Linked DNA regions of Oryzias latipes. The protein of the gene in region 1 purifies or fractionates together with the protein of each later gene. This does not show direct contact. Links are inferred from orthologs where the notes say so. Each region holds a gene or a part of one and is shown in the gene's direction. Other genes may lie near its edges.

Evidence for each region. Proteins that work in one complex are often made in the same cells at the same time.
Region 2: the proteins of usp48 (region 1) and putative transcription factor p65 homolog purify together in Homo sapiens (affinity purification with mass spectrometry; 3 studies listed by BioGRID, with this or other methods). This does not show direct contact. The link is inferred for Oryzias latipes from reciprocal best matches to the Homo sapiens genes USP48 and RELA.

The regions. Positions count from the first base shown.
Region 1 is NC_019863.2:19,935,124-19,941,595, reverse strand, and holds the start of usp48 (ubiquitin carboxyl-terminal hydrolase 48), read left to right. Parts: upstream 1-2,427; 5' UTR 2,428-2,570; intron 2,571-2,964; 5' UTR 2,965-2,968; coding exon 2,969-3,102; intron 3,103-4,708; coding exon 4,709-4,829; intron 4,830-4,925; coding exon 4,926-5,067; intron 5,068-6,405; coding exon 6,406-6,472.
Region 2 is NC_019876.2:27,223,429-27,229,824, forward strand, and holds the end of putative transcription factor p65 homolog, read left to right. Parts: intron 1-1,699; coding exon 1,700-1,915; intron 1,916-1,993; coding exon 1,994-2,074; intron 2,075-2,159; coding exon 2,160-2,243; intron 2,244-3,731; coding exon 3,732-4,537; 3' UTR 4,538-5,129; downstream 5,130-6,396. Other genes in the region: UPF0696 protein C11orf68 homolog, read right to left, coding at 5,427-5,430; UPF0696 protein C11orf68 homolog, read right to left, coding at 5,427-6,167. UniProt on the Homo sapiens protein: NF-kappa-B is a pleiotropic transcription factor present in almost all cell types and is the endpoint of a series of signal transduction events that are initiated by a vast array of stimuli related to many biological processes such as inflammation, immunity, differentiation, cell growth, tumorigenesis and apoptosis.

The DNA.
Region 1 (6,472 bases):
ACTTTTACATGACTAAAGATTTGGAATGAACTATGTTGGAGCTTTACCCAAATTAAAAAACTAATTTGGGGGTAATTTAAAAAAGAAAATAAACAAATCTTTGCCTTTATTGAACAACATTGATTGCTGCATCTAAACAAATAGAATTCTTAAACCCAGACCTAATGATAACAACAGCCTTCCAAGAAAATAACAATGTGAATTGCTCTATATGTGTAGATAATTTTTCTTTTATCTGTAAATGTTAAATTGAAAAATATTTAACCTAAAACATACACAGATGTCCTAGGCTCTACTGATTAGCGATGTGCCTTCTCTGAATGTACCTAACAAAAGTGTGTGGAAGGACACAGTGTGTCTCCTCATAGTAGGTCCCTTGACAGAACCAAATCCTCCATGGACAGAACAATAAACTATTTAAACATGGACAGAACTGGGAGAAACCCGCCAATTGATTCAATGTTTTTAAAACAAACCCCACCGACGAACATACGAATCAGGAACCAGCTGCGCAGTCACATTAATAGCTGCTTCAAAACGACTTTACCTGAAATTACTACGATCCAAATCTTTATTTAAACCGCTCCGTGAACACAATCCTGGGTTTATTCAAAAATCCAAGTCTTTATTTAAACTTCTTCGCGAACAGCTTCAAATGCGCAATAAAGCTTGACCGTTTTGAAGATGGCGACATGCGGTGTAACACGGAAACAGACTCGTCTTGTCGGTTATTATGAGGTTCCGTTTTAAAAAAAAGATCATATGGATCTTGTACATATAATAATGCCTTTCTTATTTAGTTTTATTCTGGTTTTAATTGCCTTTTAATCCATTATACTTGGTCTTTGTCAATGTGTTACACAATAGGTTTTTAGAACTATATTGTTTGTCACACAACATTCAAAAAGGATTTTTACGATCCACCTCAAATCATGAAGCAAAACATTTAATCAAATAAATACAAATTATTACTACAACGTGCATTAAATAAAAAAAGACAAATTACATTGTAAAAATACAGGACTAGTCGATCAATGAAAGAGGAGTTGTATTATTGAGAGATTGTCATTATAAACAGCGTTGATAAGACAAACTGTTTAGTTGAGGTCTCCACATTGATAAATTGCTGCATTTTTGTGTTGAGTGTAAAAATTGGCCAAACATTTGTGAGTGAGTTTTGTAAATATCATTATGTTGTCGATTAGTAATTCTGAAACGGAATATCAATGTTTCATGTAAAAAAAAAGAAAGAAAATCTTGCTGTGAAAATTTGCTTTTGTGTCCATTACCACGTAAAGATAGGTCTAATCAGTCAAAAGAATAATATGTAACATAAACATATAATTCTACATATTTTAATAGCTGTCACAAACTAACCAAACATTGCACAAGGCATTTACAGTTGAGAGTTTAGAAATGTACTGTTTTAATTGTGCAGTGACAATATATGATATATACAATATATACAAATATATGCCGGAGTACCACCATATTCAATTTGTGTTTACAATTGCTTTTCAACGAAAAAAACACTTTTTTAAACCTGAGACAAACATTTAAGACATAATGGACTGTTGACTTTAAAAAAAAGTAACATTTTTTTCTTTTTTAATTGAAAAGAAAAACTTGGGGGTTACAATATGTGTGGCAGTTGTACAAGGTGTTCATCAAATTAAAATTAGAATGGGCACATAAAAACATGAACAACAATTATAAAATTAAGTAAAAGAATATACGATAACACAAAAAATACAAACTTACATTAAATAAGATTAAAATAAAAAAGGGGTTACATGGGCATTATAATGATCATAATCTTATGGGTTATCAAAAAGCAGTAATTTATTTATGATACTTTGGAGTTTCACGGCAGGTTTATATTCCATGAAGTTTATAGATGAAAAATAAGAGCAGAGTTTTTATGAAATGTGAAAAAATATGGTTTGATTTTAAGGAATCAGCATTTGTGTATTTACCCTGGAAAATTATAACTTTTAAAACCATTTCTGTGTTTATGTTTTCTAATATAAAACCCCAAAATTATGTCCTGAATAGAAAAATCTGCTAAACATGGACTCTTGAGGAAAAGCCAATAATGTGCATTGTTCCAGGAGGCATTAGAGTAAAAACGTTCAAAGAATAAACGCTCAGTTGTTTCAATGTCCTCATTACAAAAAGAACAACAATTTTCAGGAATTCCAAACCGTTTTCTGAGCAATTCATTGGAAATCAGAAACCTAAAAACGTTTTAAAGTGGACTTCTTTGGCTTTAAGAGGTATGGAAAGTTTTAAATATTTAGTTCGTATTTGTTTCTTTTATAAATTATTCTTTCCCCCCCCTTTTGTATTTGTTAACAGACATGTTTGTGTGTAAAAACAAACAAACAAATAAAGTTATTGGAAGGGGAAAAAACGGCGTACGTTGCTGCGTCATTGTCTGACGTCGTGTTGATTTTGAGCGCAGAAATTATGTATTTATAAATTGACGCAAGCGCGCTAAATCTAAAACAAGCTGTACAAAAATGCCAAATTACACAAGTGTGTGGATAAAGTGGCGGCACTCATGAAAGGTTCGAGCATATTTGTTTTTAACACAATAAATTCACATTTTGTCGTCAATTCGCGGTAAAAGGAAGAGGCTCAGCCGGTCGGGCTAGCTGCAGTTTAGCCTTAGCGGGGGGACTTAAGTTGTGAGTTTGATAAAGATGTTCTTGTTCGAGAATCACAATGGTACGAGCTTCGCTTGAGGCTTGGATTAGGCGTTTGTTCACTGGACTTTGTGTTGTAAAGCGTAGCACAATATAAGGTTGCCGGTTCGGCCAGGAAGCCGTACTTTTGTCCTCTGAGAACCAGGCAACTAGCTTAGCTCCGGCTAGCTTATTGGGTTAGCATCCTTGGAAAACCGCCCGATTATTAACCAATTTGCGTAAAAGCGCACAAACACTGGGGATCGTTTAATTGCAGGATAATGGCGCCTCGTGTACAATTGGAAAAGGCAGCTTGGCGCTGGGTGGAACACGTGAAACCAGAAGAAATCACACAGGAGCACATCGAGTTAGCATATCGCATTAACCTCCCGGCCTGCAAAAGAGGAGCCTGCAGGTACACAGCACTCATACTCTGCTCATCATGTGTCTGTCTGTGCATTTGTCATTTTGTCAACAGTTGTGTGAACTTTACTGTCTGCCAAAAAAGGAAAACCGTTTCCAACGAAATGCACAACATACTGTTTAGATTGTCAAGCTAGCTTTTTATGTATTAATTACCATTTAGTTTGGAAACTATACTTATTATTGTTTTCAAATGATCAACAAACGGGAAGGTAACTACTAGGAACTACCGGGCTGTTCATTAATTATTGTTCTACCTACTTAGGAAACACAGAAAATGCATCTTATGTATTCAGCCTAAAAACAAAACAAAATTAAGTTACTAAAAATGTAAAGTTAGTATCAATTAGAAACAAAATGATATTGTTTTTATCCTTGTAAATCAAATATTAAGTAAAATAAAATAAAATTCAATGTAAATGAAATATGGAAAGGGCTGGCCTTGACTGGCTTTGACTTAGACTTTTGAGGTCTGGAAAGCATTGCCTTCATACTACTGAGTGATGAAAGGATTAAATATTTTTAATACCAAATGGTGTTTTATTCAGTTTGTGTTTGTTCCTTTTGTTTTCTCTTTTCTTTAAGAACACAACCCTGTAAAATGTTTCAATTGAAATTAATAAATATTTATAAACACAGAACAAACTCTTTAAAAAAAAGTCCAAATAATATATTTTTTTTAGTATTTCTTTAAAAAAAAAAGACATTTTACTCAGTGAATTGTACATGAAACAATAAATACAGTAAATAAAAGAAGTAATCACTAATGATGTATGTACAAAAAATGTTTTATTAGCATTTATTACCGGGGTTATTTCTTGATTCCTTTCTTTCTGAGTAATTCTGCATTATTTTAAAGTCCTACCAACAGCATTTAAAATAAATTTTAATTAAAAATACTATGTTGATTTTTTGTTTTTCCAGGTTGAATTAAGCCATGGTGTTTTTGTTTTTGTAATTTGGCAAACGGTGTATTTTGACATCAATGTGGCTAATTGTTGGACACAAACACTGCTGTTTGCACAGCTAAAAAGTGCCACGTCAGATTAAACACACATTCCTGTAGAGTCATGCAGATCTCTGTGAATTGAACAACAGCAAGTCTGAGCATTTTGCCCCAGTCTGTGTTAACTTCCTGCTCTTTTAAATGTCTTTGCTATGATGATTCAGCAAACCAACATTCAAAAAGCTGCCATTGTCCCCGCAGGAAAGTAGTTTCCATTGGTGCTACTGGTCTCCATGCATGGAGTCAGTTATCAGATGTTAGGTTTGCTTCATTCCCATTTGCTCTTATAAAGTGTTAGTTTTACAGAGATTATAATACCTTTTGTTTCTTTTTACATGATTTTTGTCTTTGTTATCAGACAGAACAGTGGCTTGGAAACTGACTGAACCATTAAGGCTACACTTTAACTGGTAGTTACTACGTTTATTTGATTCACCAACCTTTGACAGAATTGGTCTTTTGATTCTGGTTGTGTTTGAATTGTTCTTAGGATGCTAGTCCGGTTGGCTCCGGGACAGACGAGGGATGAAAAGCCTGATAGAGGTTAGTTTTGTGAAAACAGGAAATTAATCAGCTGCGTTTACATTTACAGAAGAAATTGCAAAGGAAATCCCAACTGCCTCGTGGGTATTGGTGAACAAGCCTGGCTCGGGGAGATCGATGAGAACACGTTCCACAACATCGATGATCCAAATTCTGAACGGCGAGATAAGGTCTGTCTGTAATCCTCTGCAAATAAGTAGGATTTGATTATCCTGTCTGGATTTCACTTCACTTCCTCTGCCCGTGTCTGACACTTCCCCCTCCAGAACACATTTGTTGGACTGACCAACCTTGGCGCAACATGTTACGTCAACACATTCCTGCAGGTGTGGTTCCATAACCTGGAGCTTCGGAGGATCCTCTATCAATGCCACAATTCACGAGCACAGGAGCACGACACGGACACAGGTGCGTTCAAAAACGTCCACACCAGGACAAACAGCAGCGGCTAAGACTGCAGGTGTAGATGTCTATAACGCTCACAGGGCGCATGTTGGATGACCGCATTTCTGGTTCAATAATCACAGTCACATGCAGAAAAGTTTCACGCTCAAAGAAGAAGCTTGTTAGGAATAAACAGGAAGAGTTTGGATTTTAAAAAGTCAATTATTTTCAAGCCTACCAAAATCAGGTGATTGGGAGTAATTTTTATAAATTTGCAAATTAACTTGATTTGTGTTCCTCATAAGTCCAAGTTCAATGGGAAAGTACAGAGGCCATACTTCCCTATTCAATGACAGAAGTTGGAAACTTTCTGTTAGTTTTTAAAACTTCACGAGTCTGTTCTTGTTAAATGTTGCGCTGACAATCTTAGCATTAGCTAGAACCACCAAAATGGATATTTTCTTCTTCTTTTCTTGTAGGGATGTTGTACATCCAAACTGAACAGCACGCAATTCCCAGAGGGAAACAGCAATTGCCTTAAATACTTTAAGCTTCCTCTGAGTCTTCTGTCTCTTGCTGATGAAAATCCGACTGCTCCTTTCAGGCTAATGGCCGATATCTGATAGACTGCAATTTGTCCTGTTCACATGTTGCTCAAGAAAAAAAATATACAGTGAAACATTTTGTGTGCATGTGAATAGGCTAAATGGTGTTTTCTTATTTTTGTTTTTACCCTGAATGTATCGTCACCAGTTTGTTATTGAGACTTGTCAATGTCACTTCTGATGATTAATGAAGAACTTTCCTGACTTTTAGAAATCTATAAATAAAACAAATAAACAAGGCAACAAAGTTACAAAAAACTAAATATTTGTAATTATACAGACAGAAATATAACAGAACTGTTAACTTGACATGGTTAATAACCGTCTGTTGTTATTAACTATCTTCAGAGTATATCTCAATGGCAACTTAATTCTGACTAATTTAATTCATTTTCGGTGGCTACGTTTAGCTGAGATTATTTTATACGGTAATAAAAAAAACATAGGGACAGAGTATGTCTCCATGGAAACCAGACTGTGCTAAAATAATCCTGGTTGTGTGCAACAAGATCACAGTAAAGTTTGGTTTATCCTGAAAATTCCAGCTGATCTTGGTTTTGTGTGATGTGAAGTATCTTCATTGTTCATGTGGTCCACGACCACCACCACCACCATCATCATCATCATCCTCATCATCCTGGAGCTCCGCGTCGTCGTGACCTGCAGACTCTCACGAGTCAAAGGCATCAGCTAAACCTGCGGTTTCTGCGTCTGCTGATGACTGACAGGACAAACTCCTTCTCTGTGTCTCCCTCAGATTACGACCCTCAGTCCATCAGCGAGCATCTGCAGTACCTGTTTGCACTCTTGCAGAACAGCAACAG
Region 2 (6,396 bases), on another chromosome or scaffold:
CAAGGTCTGTTTGTTTTTCCCAGTGACATGAGGGCTCTCATAACTTAGCATCAAACTTTTCTGATGCTGTGTTCCTCCGTGTCTTAACCCTTTGATGCCTGAATTTGTTACCAGCTGTGAAAACATTGGCTTAAGTTTTTGCTTTCGATGCTAAATTAAGGCAAGACTGGAGCAGAAGTGGTTTGATGCATATTTGCATTTTTAGGCGTCGAGGGGTTAAATGTGAAAGCGTGCAGATATAGACTAGTAAAACAGAAACTACATCCTTCTGCATTCTGGGAACACTCAACACAACCTCCTCCACGAACCTCCTCCTTGGTCTTCCTCTCTTTCCTGGTAGCTCCAACCTCAGCATCTTTTCGCCGACATCATCACTGTTCCTCCTCTCAACCTGTCCAAACCCTCTCCATCTGCTTCTCTGCATTGATCTCCACAACCAGGATCTGTTCCTCTGATGGTCATTCCAGATCCACCCGGACCACTCCAAAAGAGAACCTCAGCATCTTCATCTCTGCTGCCTCCAGCTCTGCCTCAGAGCCCCTTAACCAGATATCACCAAATGGCGGACCGCGGTCCACATCCGGACCAACAGACTCTTCTCTCCGGTGTAGATACAATAACTGTTCGGCCTACAACTACCGTTCGGGGTCCTTCCAGTCACACTACGGTGGCCCCACTTGGACAAACTATGTAGCATGGAGATCTGCTCGGGCTCTACATATTTTCATTTCACGTTTCTTTTTGCAACGTAAAGTTATTTTCCTTCATAAGTTCTGTCCTACATTATTGTTTGTAGTGTTTATAGAGAGATTTAGCCACAACCCACTTTGTAAGAAGATCTGTGGCTGTTAGAATGAACCTGCTGCTCCACAGAGTGAACCGTGTCTCTGATCAGAGCAGCCAGAGTCTTGTAGCTTCGTGTTCATAGGCGGGGAAGGTGCTTTGTTAGAGTGTTCGGTCCGGAGAAGGGTTCAGAACGCAGGCCGTTTGGCTACAAATGGACTTAATAATAATCAGAACAATAATAAAAGCACGTTTACAAGATAACCCCGCTCTGTGTCGGAGCTCTGTTTGCTTACTCTGGACTTCATAATGTCTTTTTCTATGGTAGTGTCATAATTTGTCCAGACCAATCACTATCTAAAACGTCATCGGACCAACGGACAGCCAATCACATAATGTGACCTCAGCACTACTCGAAGGACCCCTGACGGTTGTTGTAGGCCGAACGGTTATGGTACCTACACCGGCGGTCCACATCTGGACCCTCCTTGGCTCCATGATCACTTTAGCTGCAGATGACCCTCCCGATCTCCCATAGTATGTGTCACCTCCTCCCTAAAAGCCAAACAGCACTTTTCCTTTCTCAACTTCCACCTCTTGGTCCTCTGCCCTTGTTTTCTTTATCTTCCTCGCACCTCACAGCTTTGCAGGTACTGATGTCGTTCACGTTTCGTCAGCACAGGAATCTGTCGCCTTAAAGCCGTTGGTGCATCAGCACAGTTGGATCTTTGAAAATTCGCCTTTTCACGTGTGAGGAAAGCATTCAGGCGGCTTTTCAGACTGCTGCCCTACGGAAGCTGGTTTACCAGCGAAACTCCAGAGACGGCGGTGTCTTTCTGTGACCAGCTGGGATTTGTCAAAGCACCGCACACTCCTCAATTCTTTGGTGTTCTCCCATGTTCCCGTCTCCCTGCAGAGGACATCGAGGTGCGTTTCTTCCAGGACTCCTGGGAGGGGAAGGGCACCTTCTCCCAGGCGGACGTGCACAGGCAGGTGGCGATCGTCTTCCGCACGCCGCCCTACCGTGACACCAACCTTGTTGAGCCAGTTAAGGTGAAGATGCAGCTTCGGCGGCCGTCTGACCGTGAAGTGAGCGAGCCTGTGGACTTCCAGTACCTACCAGCTGACCCAGGTAAGATGCACACATCTCTACCTTCCTAGGACATGTCATGCATTCATCCTCATGTGAAATCTTTCACTCTTCCTAAAGATGAATACCGGCTGAATGAGAAGAGAAAGCGGACAGCAGATGTATTCCAGAACTTGAAGCTGGGGTCGATGCTGTCCAGTGGTACGCTCACTAGATACTGTTAGCTGTTCTTTGAAGGTTTTTGTTAAAGTGTTTATGACCAAAAAAACGGCATCTGTTGTTTCAGTTTCCATCCCATCAGACCGGCGGCAAATGAACTTTGCAAGGAGAACAGTCCCACCTAAACTTTCCTCTGTGAATGTGTCAACCGGTGAGTTTTGATCCTAAATATTTTGCATCTGATGTTGTTCCTTTAAGGTTTGAATGTTGTTATTTACGGAAAATCCACTGAAAACAAAATAACACGGGTCTGCAACCCTTTATTGGGACAATTTGGCTTTCAAGAAAATGCTAATCGCTTGAAGAAATTATAGGTTATTTAATGAAGTTTAGTCATGTAACCGAGCCTGTGATGGTTAAAGGTTTCATCTACTGTCAGAGTAGCTTATTATAAGAATGAGTGTAGAGCTCCTACTCTGATCTTCAGATGCAGTCATTCAGAACCAAAGAATTGCATCTATATGCATAGATTTTTACAGAAAATCCGGATTCTACGCCAATGTTGTCATGTTTATATTTAATAAACAGCTAAAGGACAAAAAAAGAGGAGATGTTTGACTTGTCGACTGTATCTGAGAAATGGACTGAGTGATGTCATTGATAGAAAATGGTTTATTTCAGCCTCCAACCAAATGAAGTCAGTTCAGTCGCCTTTTATTTAATATTTTTTTTGGATTGGTCCGAGTCGAGCTGAGCCAACGTTTCTATTGCAACTATTCTCACCAATCAGGAGTGAAATTGTTCGAAGGCCACACCCCTACGACTTATAAGCAGACTCAGTAGAATCTGTCAATCAAATGTTTCGAAATTTCAACAGGGCACCACCTACTTTAATTGAGGCATCTGATTGGTCCTTTTATAATTTGAATAACTACAGAAAAAAAATCATTTGAAAAAGATTAATACGTTTATAAAAATGTATCATATCAAGAATTATTGACCAATAGAATGACTGAGTAACAACTGCTTATTTTGGCTTCTTGGAACTAGCAGGTACTTCCTGTTTGGAACGCTGGGGGGGGGTCACTCAGTCCAGTTCTCATATACAGTCAATGGTTTTACTTGGGTTTCTTGTATTTTTTTTCAAGTAAATCTTCCGTAGCAGGAGGCTCTCATTTGACACAGGATGTTTTATTTTGAAAGGAACTTACGTACGTAATGCTGTCAAAAGTAAAATATCTTAAATTTGTTTCTACATAGAAAAACATAACACAGTTATAATTCAATTATAGTAAATATTTACGAGCTAGATTTTATGAATGAATGCCTCGATGGCCACAAAAACATGAATCACATTTTCTAAACATGTAGTGGAACTTTGCGGCTCTGGCTGAGTCTTGGTCTTAAAACACAAAAACTTGGACAATAACTGTTCCTTAACTTTAGTTACTGCAAATATTACTGAAGCTTCACTCTGATCATGTTTTTATCTATTTTCAAAGTGTTAACAGTAATCTTTTAATGACGTTTTTGGCCTAAATCTAAACATCTGCGGTCGTCTCCAGGACATAGTTTCTGCAGCGCGGCAGGAGTTTGTTAGAAATGATCCTCTGAGTTGTGGGCGGGGCTGTTGCCGCCTGCCTGTATGTAAGGATAGAGTGGAATTGCAGCTGTTGAACTGAAACTGTTTGTTTTTCAGGGACCGAGACGCCCCCTGGTGCCAGTGCAGCCAAACCACAGGCCCCTTTCCTCTTCACTCAGCCGATCCAGGCCCCTGCGCCGCACAAGAGGGAGCTCCCCGACGCAACTTCAAGCCAACCCTGGAGATTTATGGAGACTCTGAAGAAAGATTTACAGACCCCCTTCGCAGGGAGTTCTTCATCAGCCGCTCCCTCCTCCTCCACCACCATCAGCGCCTCCACGGCGAGCAACCAATACCCCACAGTCAACATAGCAGACCTTCAGGAGTTCTTCCCCAACATTTTGTCCCCCATGAATCAGGAGGCAGAAGCCACTCAAGCTAGTAGTGCGCCCCCTCAGGCCAGCAGCTCCTTCCCCCTCCAGGCCTCGCAGTTCTCCACAAACCCCGCAGAAGACGACCTCCCAGAGTTCCCCAGCTTCTCTGAGGGCCAGGTCCCCATCACCCTGGATAGCCTGAACATGGACGACTTTGAGGACCTTTTGAACGTGGGCGGGGGTGGCGCCGTTCCCATTGGAAGTTCGGGCCAGCAGCCCCACGCCACCGCACCTCCCCAGAATCCCACAGCGGGCCAGAACCCCTCGGACCCTGCTGGCAACCCAGGAAGCACCTGGATGAACTACCCCAACAGCATCGTCAACCTGCTGCAGAGCGAGGGCATGATGGACGCCGCCCCCCTCAACAACCACCACAGCGGCTACGCAGAACCCGACGACTACCAGCTGCTGTCCGCCGACGACGACCGCCTCATGTCCATTTACGAAAATGAAAATCACGCCGAGTTTGTGGCGGGACGCCAGACCTAAAGGACCCTTTCACCAAAGACTTCTGCTTTCTGCCTTCAGGACTGAAAAGATGCCAAGGGGAAACAGAAAGACCGCTCACTGTGGACAAAGAAACCCCCCAACCACAGATTCAGATCATGTCCTTATCATTACAGAACCATTATGTGGAAGACGACCCGCGCGTGTTCATCAGCTGATGATGGCGTCGCTTCGCTGACACGTGTTTGGCAGGTTTTTGTACTGTATCTGAACAAGTTTATCTGCTGTTTTTAGAGGAAGTTTGGGGTTTTGAATCCAAAAATGAACAGCCTGGTATGTTGGCATGTTAGCATTATACCCTTTTTTTTTTATCAAGTGTCCCTTTGGTTTGAAGTGTCATCCGAAGGTTTTGTCTGCGTGTGTAAAGAACCACATGAAGGTCTACATGTAAATATTTACAGGTTGAACATGTGCTTGCAGACCAGTCCGTGTTCCTGCTTCTGTTATCCTGGTGTTTCTACGGTTACTGTCCAAAGAACCGACTTTTCTGTTTTGCTTTTGGTCAGCAGCCCCCCCCTCCACACACAGACATTATGCCTAACCTTTTTTCACAATAAAATCGACAGAATGTAAAGGAATTCTTCAAAAGTGTTTTATTTGGCTGATCGTGGTTCAAACAGAACGAATTCTCTCAAACTATCAAAAACGTCTCAAAGTTCAGATTTCTGTCACCCTTCCAGCTCCGTAGGTTGTTCCAACCACAAGAAATGAGTGCAAATCAAATACTGCTGGAATTACAGATTGGTTTCTTTCCAAAAAAGCAAAATAAAGGAAGATCAAAACATCTGCAAATGCCGCTCCGTGGCCCGGTAAACAGGAGCAGAACTCTTAGGCGTCAGTCCCACCAAACGCGCTGCCCGTCCGGACTGGACTATGTCAGTTCCAGGTTGGTGACTTTGTTGAGGATGTGGGAACGCCGGGGGACGCACTCCAGGTCAAACCTGCTCTCATAAATGGTGGGGCTAAGTTCCCAGCGGTTCCTTCGGTAGATTCCCAGGTAGGTGTAAACGTCGGGTTTGTAGAACAGCGGGCACTTGATCCCCGTGGAGCGAATGACGGAGTCCAGCTTCATGACGTCCTCCTCGTCGGTGAAGTTTCTGTTATAGACACATATGACGTGGCGACTGTCTCCTTTCGGGTCCAAGGGGCTGACTTTGGCGCACCAGATCTTCCCCTCCAAGGTTGCTCTGGCCACACACTCCCACGCGTGGTCCAGTTTAAAACCAGAGTCCAGGTGCATCAGCCACTTCCCACTGAGCACTCTGTGGTTGAGGGCCAGCTCCTTCACGGTCTGGAAGGTGACAGGTCTGCCACTGGCCAGGAGTTTCTCCCAGCTCTCCTGAAGATCTTCAACGTCCTCATCACTGGGATGGTAGTCGGGGCCCCTCACAGAGATCCACCCCACGGGGCCGACGCCACTCTTCTCGTCACCAAACCTGTGCACTTGGGAGGGCCGGTTACTCTCCAGCCAGGCATCAAACTCCGATTTGGGAGTTTTTCTGCAGTCAAAAATAATCCAGGGATCCATGTCTGCAGCCAGGGCTTCGGCGGCATAGTGATCTGATGCAAAGTTCTCCCTTTCACCGTTGGCAGAGGCCTCTTCTTCCTCCATGATGCCTTAAAGATGAGACTGGAACCGAGCAAGGAGTGTGGAGCTCCCTGCTGAAAGAAAGCAGGAGTTGTGTTCATGACGGCACGAGTGAGGGAGACTTATGCAACACAGAGGCTGAACTTTGGAGCAGCATCTTAAGGCCGTGTCACACACCCACTACGTTCCTTAAGTACATATTGCTCAGATAAAAATGGTCATACGTGGAAAAAGTGAGGAAAGTCGTGGTCTT